2 linked regions of the Mus musculus genome follow. The protein of the gene in region 2 purifies or fractionates together with the protein of the main gene of each other region. This does not show direct contact. Links are inferred from orthologs where the notes say so. Each region holds a gene or a part of one and is shown on either strand. Other genes may lie near its edges.

The links.
Region 1: the proteins of Retreg1 (region 2) and Gabarapl1 purify together in Homo sapiens (affinity purification with western blotting; 3 studies listed by BioGRID and IntAct, with this or other methods). This does not show direct contact. The link is inferred for Mus musculus from reciprocal best matches to the Homo sapiens genes RETREG1 and GABARAPL1.

The regions. Positions count from the first base shown.
Region 1 is NC_000072.6:129,531,755-129,536,253, reverse strand, and holds the start of Gabarapl1 (gamma-aminobutyric acid receptor-associated protein-like 1), read right to left. Parts: upstream 3,063-4,499; 5' UTR 2,808-3,062; coding exon 2,718-2,807; intron 1-2,717. UniProt on the Homo sapiens protein: Ubiquitin-like modifier that increases cell-surface expression of kappa-type opioid receptor through facilitating anterograde intracellular trafficking of the receptor. Involved in formation of autophagosomal vacuoles.
Region 2 is NC_000081.6:25,888,259-25,892,070, reverse strand, and holds part of Retreg1 (reticulophagy regulator 1), read right to left. Parts: intron 2,591-3,812; coding exon 2,484-2,590; intron 1-2,483. UniProt on the Homo sapiens protein: Endoplasmic reticulum (ER)-anchored autophagy regulator which mediates ER delivery into lysosomes through sequestration into autophagosomes.

The sequences.
Region 1 (4,499 bases), on a different chromosome or scaffold from region 2:
AATCTCATCTTAGAGATAAGAAATGGGAAATACACAAAAGCAAAGAAGCAGAAACAACACTGGACAAGTATCCCTAGAAGCTGAGTGTCTGTCAGTGTGTTTCCGACCTTTTCGAGCTTCTTCATCAAGCCACATACCTGTCCACCCCCAGATACCATACAAACAAGTACAAGAAAATGCTTGGGTAGACAGACGTGAATCCAAAGCTTCAAGGGAAATAGAAAAGAACTTGAAAAGAAATAGACCAAAAAAGAGGAAGGAAAGAGGCAGGTTACAAACAGAGCACAGGAAACAGGGAGCCCTGGTATTCACCACAGGAACTCTTGAGTCCTGGAACTCCAACCAAAAGGAGAGGGGACTTGTTTTCTGCATCTGTCGCAGTGGCTCATACACCATAGGGATGTTTACAAATGTTTAAAAATAGTATGTCCTACAGTTCCTGCTGTTACAGGTCTCCAACACACGGTTATCTCAAGATCCCATGATCCCTTCTCCCAAGGCCCACGCACACCTCTTAAGAGGCCAAGCTTAAGTTGTGAGTCAGACTGCCTTAGAAACTTAGCGGCTTTCCTGTAAATACCTGAACATAGGAAGATTCGGCCCTGTGACCAAGGCAGGAGAACTCCTGTTATAATCCAGTCATGGAGAAGACACCAGGCAAAGGGTTCCAATTTTAGTGTTGCCCCCACTCCCACCCCCACACAAATCTCAGCAGGGTTCTATGTCACAACCAGATGAGAGGTTGAGAACCTCTCAGATTGGGAGGTACCATCTGGGTGTGAAATCCAGGGATCCATGAGATCTAAGCGAAGGTGTCTTGGCTTACAAATCATCACTGAAGTAAAACATTCAGCATCAAGTCACAAACAGGAGAATACAGAGAAACTGCAATATTGTGGGTGAGTGCTGTACACAACTGAATGCGAGGGGGCTCTGTCTTGAGGAAGGACGGAGGTTTTAGCTGAATTTGGAAACAGTTGCAGGTCACAGCTCGGATTTCTGTTAAAGTTCTGAATAATGGGGGTAGGTGTTCACTTAAGTTTCCTGGCTGGCACCAACTACCACCTGAACTCCAGATGGCAGCAGGTGTTAACCTACTTCTAGGGCTCAACCTTACAAGGCGTTCATCTAACTGTACTACAAACTGGAAAACAAAAACAAAAACAAAACTCTGGAAGCCCAAGGGCTCTGGAAGCCCTGAAGCATGACAGCCAGGGCTGGAATTCTCCTCCACCAGTCAGCAATGTCAAACCTGTGGGTGGTGACTTCACTGCCCTGTGCTTCAGAGCATGTCTCTAGCACAGGGATTTTAATGCTGTGACGAGAGTCGGTGAGTACACAGACAAGGCATTCAGAGTGCTGCCAGCTGTGTGGTCCATGTGTAATTTTAAAATATTAAGTGGGGCTGACAAACTGAGAGAAATTTTGAAAGCAATCCTCCACAGTCCTGAGCTCAAGGAAATAACATGTGAAGGACTGTGTAGTAGGAAGGCATGACTGGAGTGTGCCCAGCCGTTCTGGAAGAGCCATGTATATGTAATTTCTGGAGAATGGTGGAATAGTTAGCTCTCTTCTTCCTCATAGAAAATGGGGCTGAGGGTAGAAAATGGGGCTGAGGGTAGAAAATGGGGCTGAGGGCTTTCTCTTGCTGGACCTCCGTTTCTTCTGGTAGCCCTGGCTGAGATAAAGAATAAGGAAGAAGTCCCTCCCCCCTATTACTTATGCATCAAAAAAAAAAATTATCAGGTTAGCACAGCTCTTTTACCCTTCAAAGTTAGAGGAACGCCAACCTAATATAACATCATTGCCTGTACAAATAAAGAGAACGATTTTTTAAAGTCCCTGGTCCTCTATCCACCATATTTAAAAGCGATGTCATCCTTTGCTTCCAATTCTGCTGCGCAGCCTTCAAAAGAGGAGGAAAAAAAAAAAGGCAAGTGGGCGGGGGAGGGGGTAAAGTGGAAAACACCCGGATGCTGAAGACTCCCTTAGTATTTTTCTCCCCACTGCATGAACTAGGTATTAGCTGCTTAAATCGGGGTATAATTAATGGAGGAAACGGTTCTCAGTACTGGTTCTTGAGATCCAAGAGCCCACCCACCTATCACAGTGCAGAGCACGGACCTTCTTTTTCCACACATGGCCCAGGAGACAATAATGAGGTGGAGGCAGGCATGACCTTGTTTGAGGGCCCGCCTGGTGAAGCCCCTCACCCCACCCCACCCCCAATTCTAAAAAAAAAAAAAAAAAAAAAACGCAGGTCAGAATCTAGGGGCTTCTCGAGTTTTTCCTCCTACGCTCAAGGAAATGGGAAGGAGACTCGTTTTCATGGAGAACCAATTGAGCAGACATGGATGGGCACAAGGCTCATCTCACCTGCTGCTACAGGGTTGGGACGCGTTTTTCTATAGCATATCCTATCTGCGGCCCCCAACCAGTCGCCCCCGCACACACAGGCCTCGCCACGCGCACATCCCAACCTCCATGGGTGCTGAATCCTGCTGACTCACCCACCACGCGCACGCTGCGCTTTCGAGATGCCAAAAGTGGCTACAGGCCCTGGGGATACAAGCTTGTCAAAGCCGGTCAAGAATACTTGATTCCGATGACCCTCCTGTGCCAGGGCCACCCGCCATCGCCAGGCTACCTCGGTAGCTCCAGGGCAACCAGCTCCCAAACTCCTCAAGCTTGCCTTCTCCCTCCCCGCCCCCACTCACCGGCACCCGGTCCGGGTATTTCTTCCTAATCTTTTCACCTTCCTTTTTCCGATACTCGAAGGGGTGGTCCTCCTTATACTGGAACTTCATGATGGACCTCAGGATGTAGGGGCTCCCCGGACGGGGCCTGCTGCGCGCGCTGATGACTGCGTCTCGCGTCTGGCCACCCCCAGTCAATGTCAGCCTTATCACAATCGCTCCACCCGCGTCAGCTCCCACGCGCCAGTCGCCGCACTACGTGGCTAAACGTCCAGAGAAGGACCTGGAGATCTCGCGGCCTGAAGGTAAAGGACCACCAGGTAAAGAAATAGGGTGGCTTTTCCCAAGAGCTGGAAACACAAAAACACCAGGGCGGTGCTGTGACATCACGACGCCCCACCCCCGCTCCGCCCCCGGCGCTAAGGACCTGCTGGATCCGGGTGGACAGAAGCTTTGTTTATTTGTGTATCTTCTTTTCACCCAAGCTTTTCCTAAACCACTCCATCGAAACGCAAAAATCATGTAGTCGGGTTTTTATTTTTGAGGATTGATATTAAAGGTAATTTGTTAATTCAAAGAATGCTCTAACAAATGTCGTCTTCCCTCCCCTTCAAGTTTCTTGTTTGATGCCCAAAACAAACACAGAGGAAGAAAATCCAGCTGTTTCCAGAGCAATGGAATCAGGAGTCTGGAGTTGGAAAAGTGCCAGGCGTCACGAGATTTGTAGCCCGGGCTGAAATGTCCTGTGCTTGCATTTTGACCTTTGCCTGGCACCCACGACTGGCCTGCCTTCTCTGCCCCAACTCCTCCTTCTGACTGGTGTCCTTATGTTTGGATCTGTGCTAGAATTGGTTCTGAGACAACATAAACAGAGCATGACTCATGGATTTGAAGAAGTGTAAGGGTGAAGAACATGAAGTCATCAAGGTTAGAAGAAGCGATGCCAGCGATGAACACCAGGCTTCACTCACGTTCAAGGAGAGATGAATCCATTCATTTTATAAGGTTCACCCAGAAGCATGGTTGTTGAGTTCTTGAAAATACAGAGGTCAAATCATTTAGGTGTCTATGTTTCCCCAACAATACTTTGCTCTGGGGTGGGTATCACCTGTAGGGTAGTTGTCCTGATGAAAAGGCCTTATTGGGCACCAAAAGCTCTGACTGGCATGCTGGTGGAAGACCCTCAATAGTATAGAGAGAGTCAGCCCAGGCCCCTCTGACATACCGGGTTTCCATCTTAAGACTCTTTGGATGCGGGGTCACCCTTCTGATTCTACTGGCAGTAACTCCAGACCTATATCTTGGGAACATCGGAGATAAAGTTCAAGGATGCTTTGTGCTGTGAAAATAAAATGACTACTAAGTGGTACCAGGCAAGCAGCCCTGTTGCCTGATTTTATGTACATGACTTAGTGATATGGTTATAAAATATGGGCAAAATAAAGTGAACTGAATTTAACTGGCAAAACAAGAACATGAAATACATAGCCCACTTCTTGGTTTTCTCCTGGTAATCTTTCTTACATATGAAGACAAATGAATTGGTATATAATATTGTTGTATTTATTTATTGTTGTTTTTATTTTCAAATTAAAAATAGTTTAATACCCAGCTACTCATTTTACCCTTGACCCAAATACAATTAAGTCTTTCAGAAGAAATTTTACAACCAGTTGAGACAGATCTGGGATGAAAATGGTAATAGTGTTGTTTTCTGAGTAACCTTCAGGTTTGTTTTTTTGTTGTTGTTGTTTTGTTTTTTTTTTTTATAGATGTACAGTCTCAGCTAGTTGAAGGGCAGTT
Region 2 (3,812 bases):
AGGGGTGGGTCCTTCACTAGAGCCTCCACGTTAAGTATAGACCCACTGGTGTGTTGTTTGAACTGATGGCTTCCAGAGCTGTGGAGAACTTTGAGCCGCCAAGTGTGTGGTTAATTCGTTACATCAGCCACAGGGAACCATCGATCCTGCCGCTTCTGCACAACTAGGCACAGACATTAACTTTCTCCATGTTAGCCTGCCTTTCTTTCCTTTTGCATCGTTAAGGCCCGGGACCTGAGGCCGGTGCACATTGGTGAGCATTGCACTACAGAGCCAGATCCTCTTTCTATTTTCAGACAGGATCTCGATCAGCAGCCCCTTGTGGTTTTGCACTTCCTCCGGAGCCCAGGCAGGCCTCAAACTTCTGATCCCCGCGCCTTGGCCTCCAAGTCACTGAGATTACAGGCCTGCTTAGGCAATCTGATTTAAGAAGCAGAGACTCTAGGCTGGTAGACTTCAGCTTTCCCCTCCTCAATGTTTTGAAGGAGACAGCTTTTCCGTGAGGAGGGTTTTCAAGGACATTCATCTCCACGGTGTGACTACCAAATGGCTGGTTTAAATAAAAACTGAAGGCCTTGGTGGGCCCTGACAGCCAAAGCTGAAGGACTTCCGCACAGTCCCGTTTTCAGTCTGGCCCCCGCACTCAGAAGCCAAGTCCTTCAGTCCCTCCTTTCCTGGTTCCTCGGATTTTTGTAACTCATTGAAATCACACCTAAGGTCCGGCCAGGGTGAACACCCAGTGAGTGCAAAGTACTCAGGTGCTCAACCTCCAGGGTGGTCAGCGTGCTTCAAAGAAGGCTTCAGAGCACATCCACAAATGGCAACCTGCTTGCATTCTCCTGAGGGAATAACTTGTTGCAAAATATATCCAAGACAACAGCCCTCCGCATCCTGCTATGCGTCAATACAAGAACGCAGGGCTTGCCAAGATCTAGCCCATTTCCCTCCTCAGATCCTGAGGTGTGAGGTATTGGCCTCAGGAGGCCGAGGTACACTGGGATACAACAGCAAACGCTGCTGGAAGTGAGGGAACTGGGCATCTATTCTCAGAAAGGGGGAAGGGTGAGAAGAAGAAAAAGGCTCAAGGGGAAGAAGGCAATGTGTATATGAGGACAGAATTTTCTTTTGTTTTTTTGTTCTGTTTTGTTCTGTTTGGTTTTGTTTTTCGAGACAGGGTTTCTCTGTATAGCCCTGGCTGTCCTGGAGCTCACTTTGTAGACCAGGCTGGCCTCGAATTGAAATCCATGGATCCCTGAAATGCCTCAACTAGACAAAAATGAATTTGCTTAGCTTCCCAGAAAGGCTAGCCGTGAAGGAGTTACCTCCACACCTGACTACACTGACGTGAAACAATCTTTCTAAAGACTGCGTCTATAGTGGTTGGGTTAAGACTGGACACTGAAACATGACCCGCTTGAAAGGTAACCCACGGAACACCGCGATGGCGAAACTCCAGGGCTCAAGTTCTTGTTTGAGAGATGTTGCCACTTTCATGGTACATCCCCATGATGGTGAATCTGGGCAGTCCTGAGACACAGCAGTCCATACAGACACTAATTAAAGCCTCCTCCTTATGATTTTGACCAAATAGATCTTATTACATGTAGACTCTTATGTCCAGGAGGGATTTTTGCCCATTTACAGAAGTTGGTTCAAGTATTAGTAGAGGAGGCATGGAGATTCACAGAAAGGTTGCACTCAGGAAAATAGTATATACTCCTAGGAAGTCAAGCACTCTTTAAAAATGAGTCCAGCTCCCACTTTAGAGCTTACAGTTGGTTCTCTTTCCAACACCATTAATCTGTAACTATCGGTGATTTTTTTTTAAAGCTTATTGCATTCTTTCGCTGAGGTAAAAGAAAACTGTACTCAAACTACTACATTTTCCAGTGGCCCGGTATGAGCTTGTAGGGTGGAGTAAATATTTAACTGCTCTTCTTACAGTGGCCTACTTAAATATCACCCTGATGTGTGACGTATGTAGCTTAGAACCAAGGGAGAGCCCAGCACGGGACCTTTCCCTTGTTCTGACAAGAGAGGGAATCAGAAATACATTATTAAGCTTGGGATGTAGCTCAGTGGTACACTGTTTGGCTAACATGTGCAAGGGGCCTGGGTTTAACCCCCAGCACTGAAGAAAAAAATAAAGTTGTGTGTGTGTGTGTGTGAGAGAGAGAGAGAGAGAGAGAGAGAGAGAGAGAGAGAAAAGCAAACCCAGACAATATGGTGACTCATGTCTATAATCCTAGCACTCAGCAAGCTGAGACAAGAGGATGACTGGGAGTTCTAGGCTAACCTGGGTACAGTAAGACCATATCTCAGACAGAGGGAAGGGGGGTAGGGTGGAGAATGGAGGAAACAGGAAGTAAAGAAAGTAGAAAAAAGCGTCTCTACATGATCCTCATGTTCAAAAGATGAATATATCCACCCAAAAATTAGACACTTGAAATAAAATACACAAAAATCAAGTCGCATATTCTTACCTCTTGTCCTGGACAAAACCATTTCCTTGATGATCTGCATGATAACACGCCCAAGAATCATGACGGAAATGAGGTGATACACTCTCCAAGGAGTCAAGGCAAGGAACCTAGGACCAAAGAAACAGACAAGACTCCATTTTACTCTGAAGATTTTCAATTAAAAAAAAAACTCACCCAGACATACAAATTTGTTAGCACTTCCTCTTTTAAGATCATACAGGGGTCTAATCCATATGCCCACCTCCTCTCTGGAGAAAAACAAATTAAAATTCCCTAACCATAAAGAGTACATAATACCTGCAAGGCTCCTTTTGGCTAGGACCACAAGGGAAAGGACTAGCCAAGAACTCAGAAGGAGCCTGGACTCTTCAACGAGACTAAAGGATGAAGCCTCTGATTGTCACAAGTTCACTGGCCAAGTTGATAACTGAAATGAACTTGGTTGTACTCAGAAACCCCCTAAAAAAGTTACGTTAACAAATGTTTAATAGCAAGGCTCTATAGAGAAGAAATGGAAGCTGGATGGGGTGGTGTGTGCTTTTAATCTAAGGACTCTAAAGGCAAAAGTAGGAGGATCTCTGTGAGCTTGAGGCCAGCCCAGTCTACATGATGAATCCCAAACTGTTTCACAAAACCAAGGTGGGAAGGGAGAAAGAGGGGGGGGTGAGGGGAGAGAAGAGAAGAGGAGAGGAGAGGAGAGGAGAGGAGAGGAGAGGAGAGGAGAGGAGAGGAGAGGAGAGGAGAGGAGAGGAGAGGAAGAAAAGAGACTCTGTACTTCTTTCTGTGAACTCTATTAGCAGACAAACACAGACTTAGCTAACAATGCCCAAAAAGCACTGAAGAAGACTGTATAAAAAGGAGACAGTGTATCAAACACCAGCATTCACCACTGCTTTCCGACTGTGGATCCAATGTGACCAGCTGACTAACCATCCTGCTGCCAGGCCGTACTTGTTGATAGGACTGTCTCCCCTTAAACTGTGAGTCTAAATAAACCCTTCCTTCCTTAAGTCGCTTTCATTGGGTATTTTGAAGGTAGGGTTCTGGCTTTTATGCCACAGGCTATAGGGAGAAAGCCCAAGGCATGGAGCAGAAAAATAAAATAAGTGATTTAGGAGGATAAGCTGATCTAAGAAGGAACTATGCAATCAAGCTACCTTCTAGAAAGATATACAGTATATCTTGTCATATATTTGTGTTGCGGATAGCCCTGGGGCTAATTATATTTGATGTTAATTCCATTCTCCTGTGAGGGAATGTGAACAAGGAACGAGTCAACATTCAGGTGATCTCCTGTAAACCTGCATCCCACCTTAATTTGTAAATAAA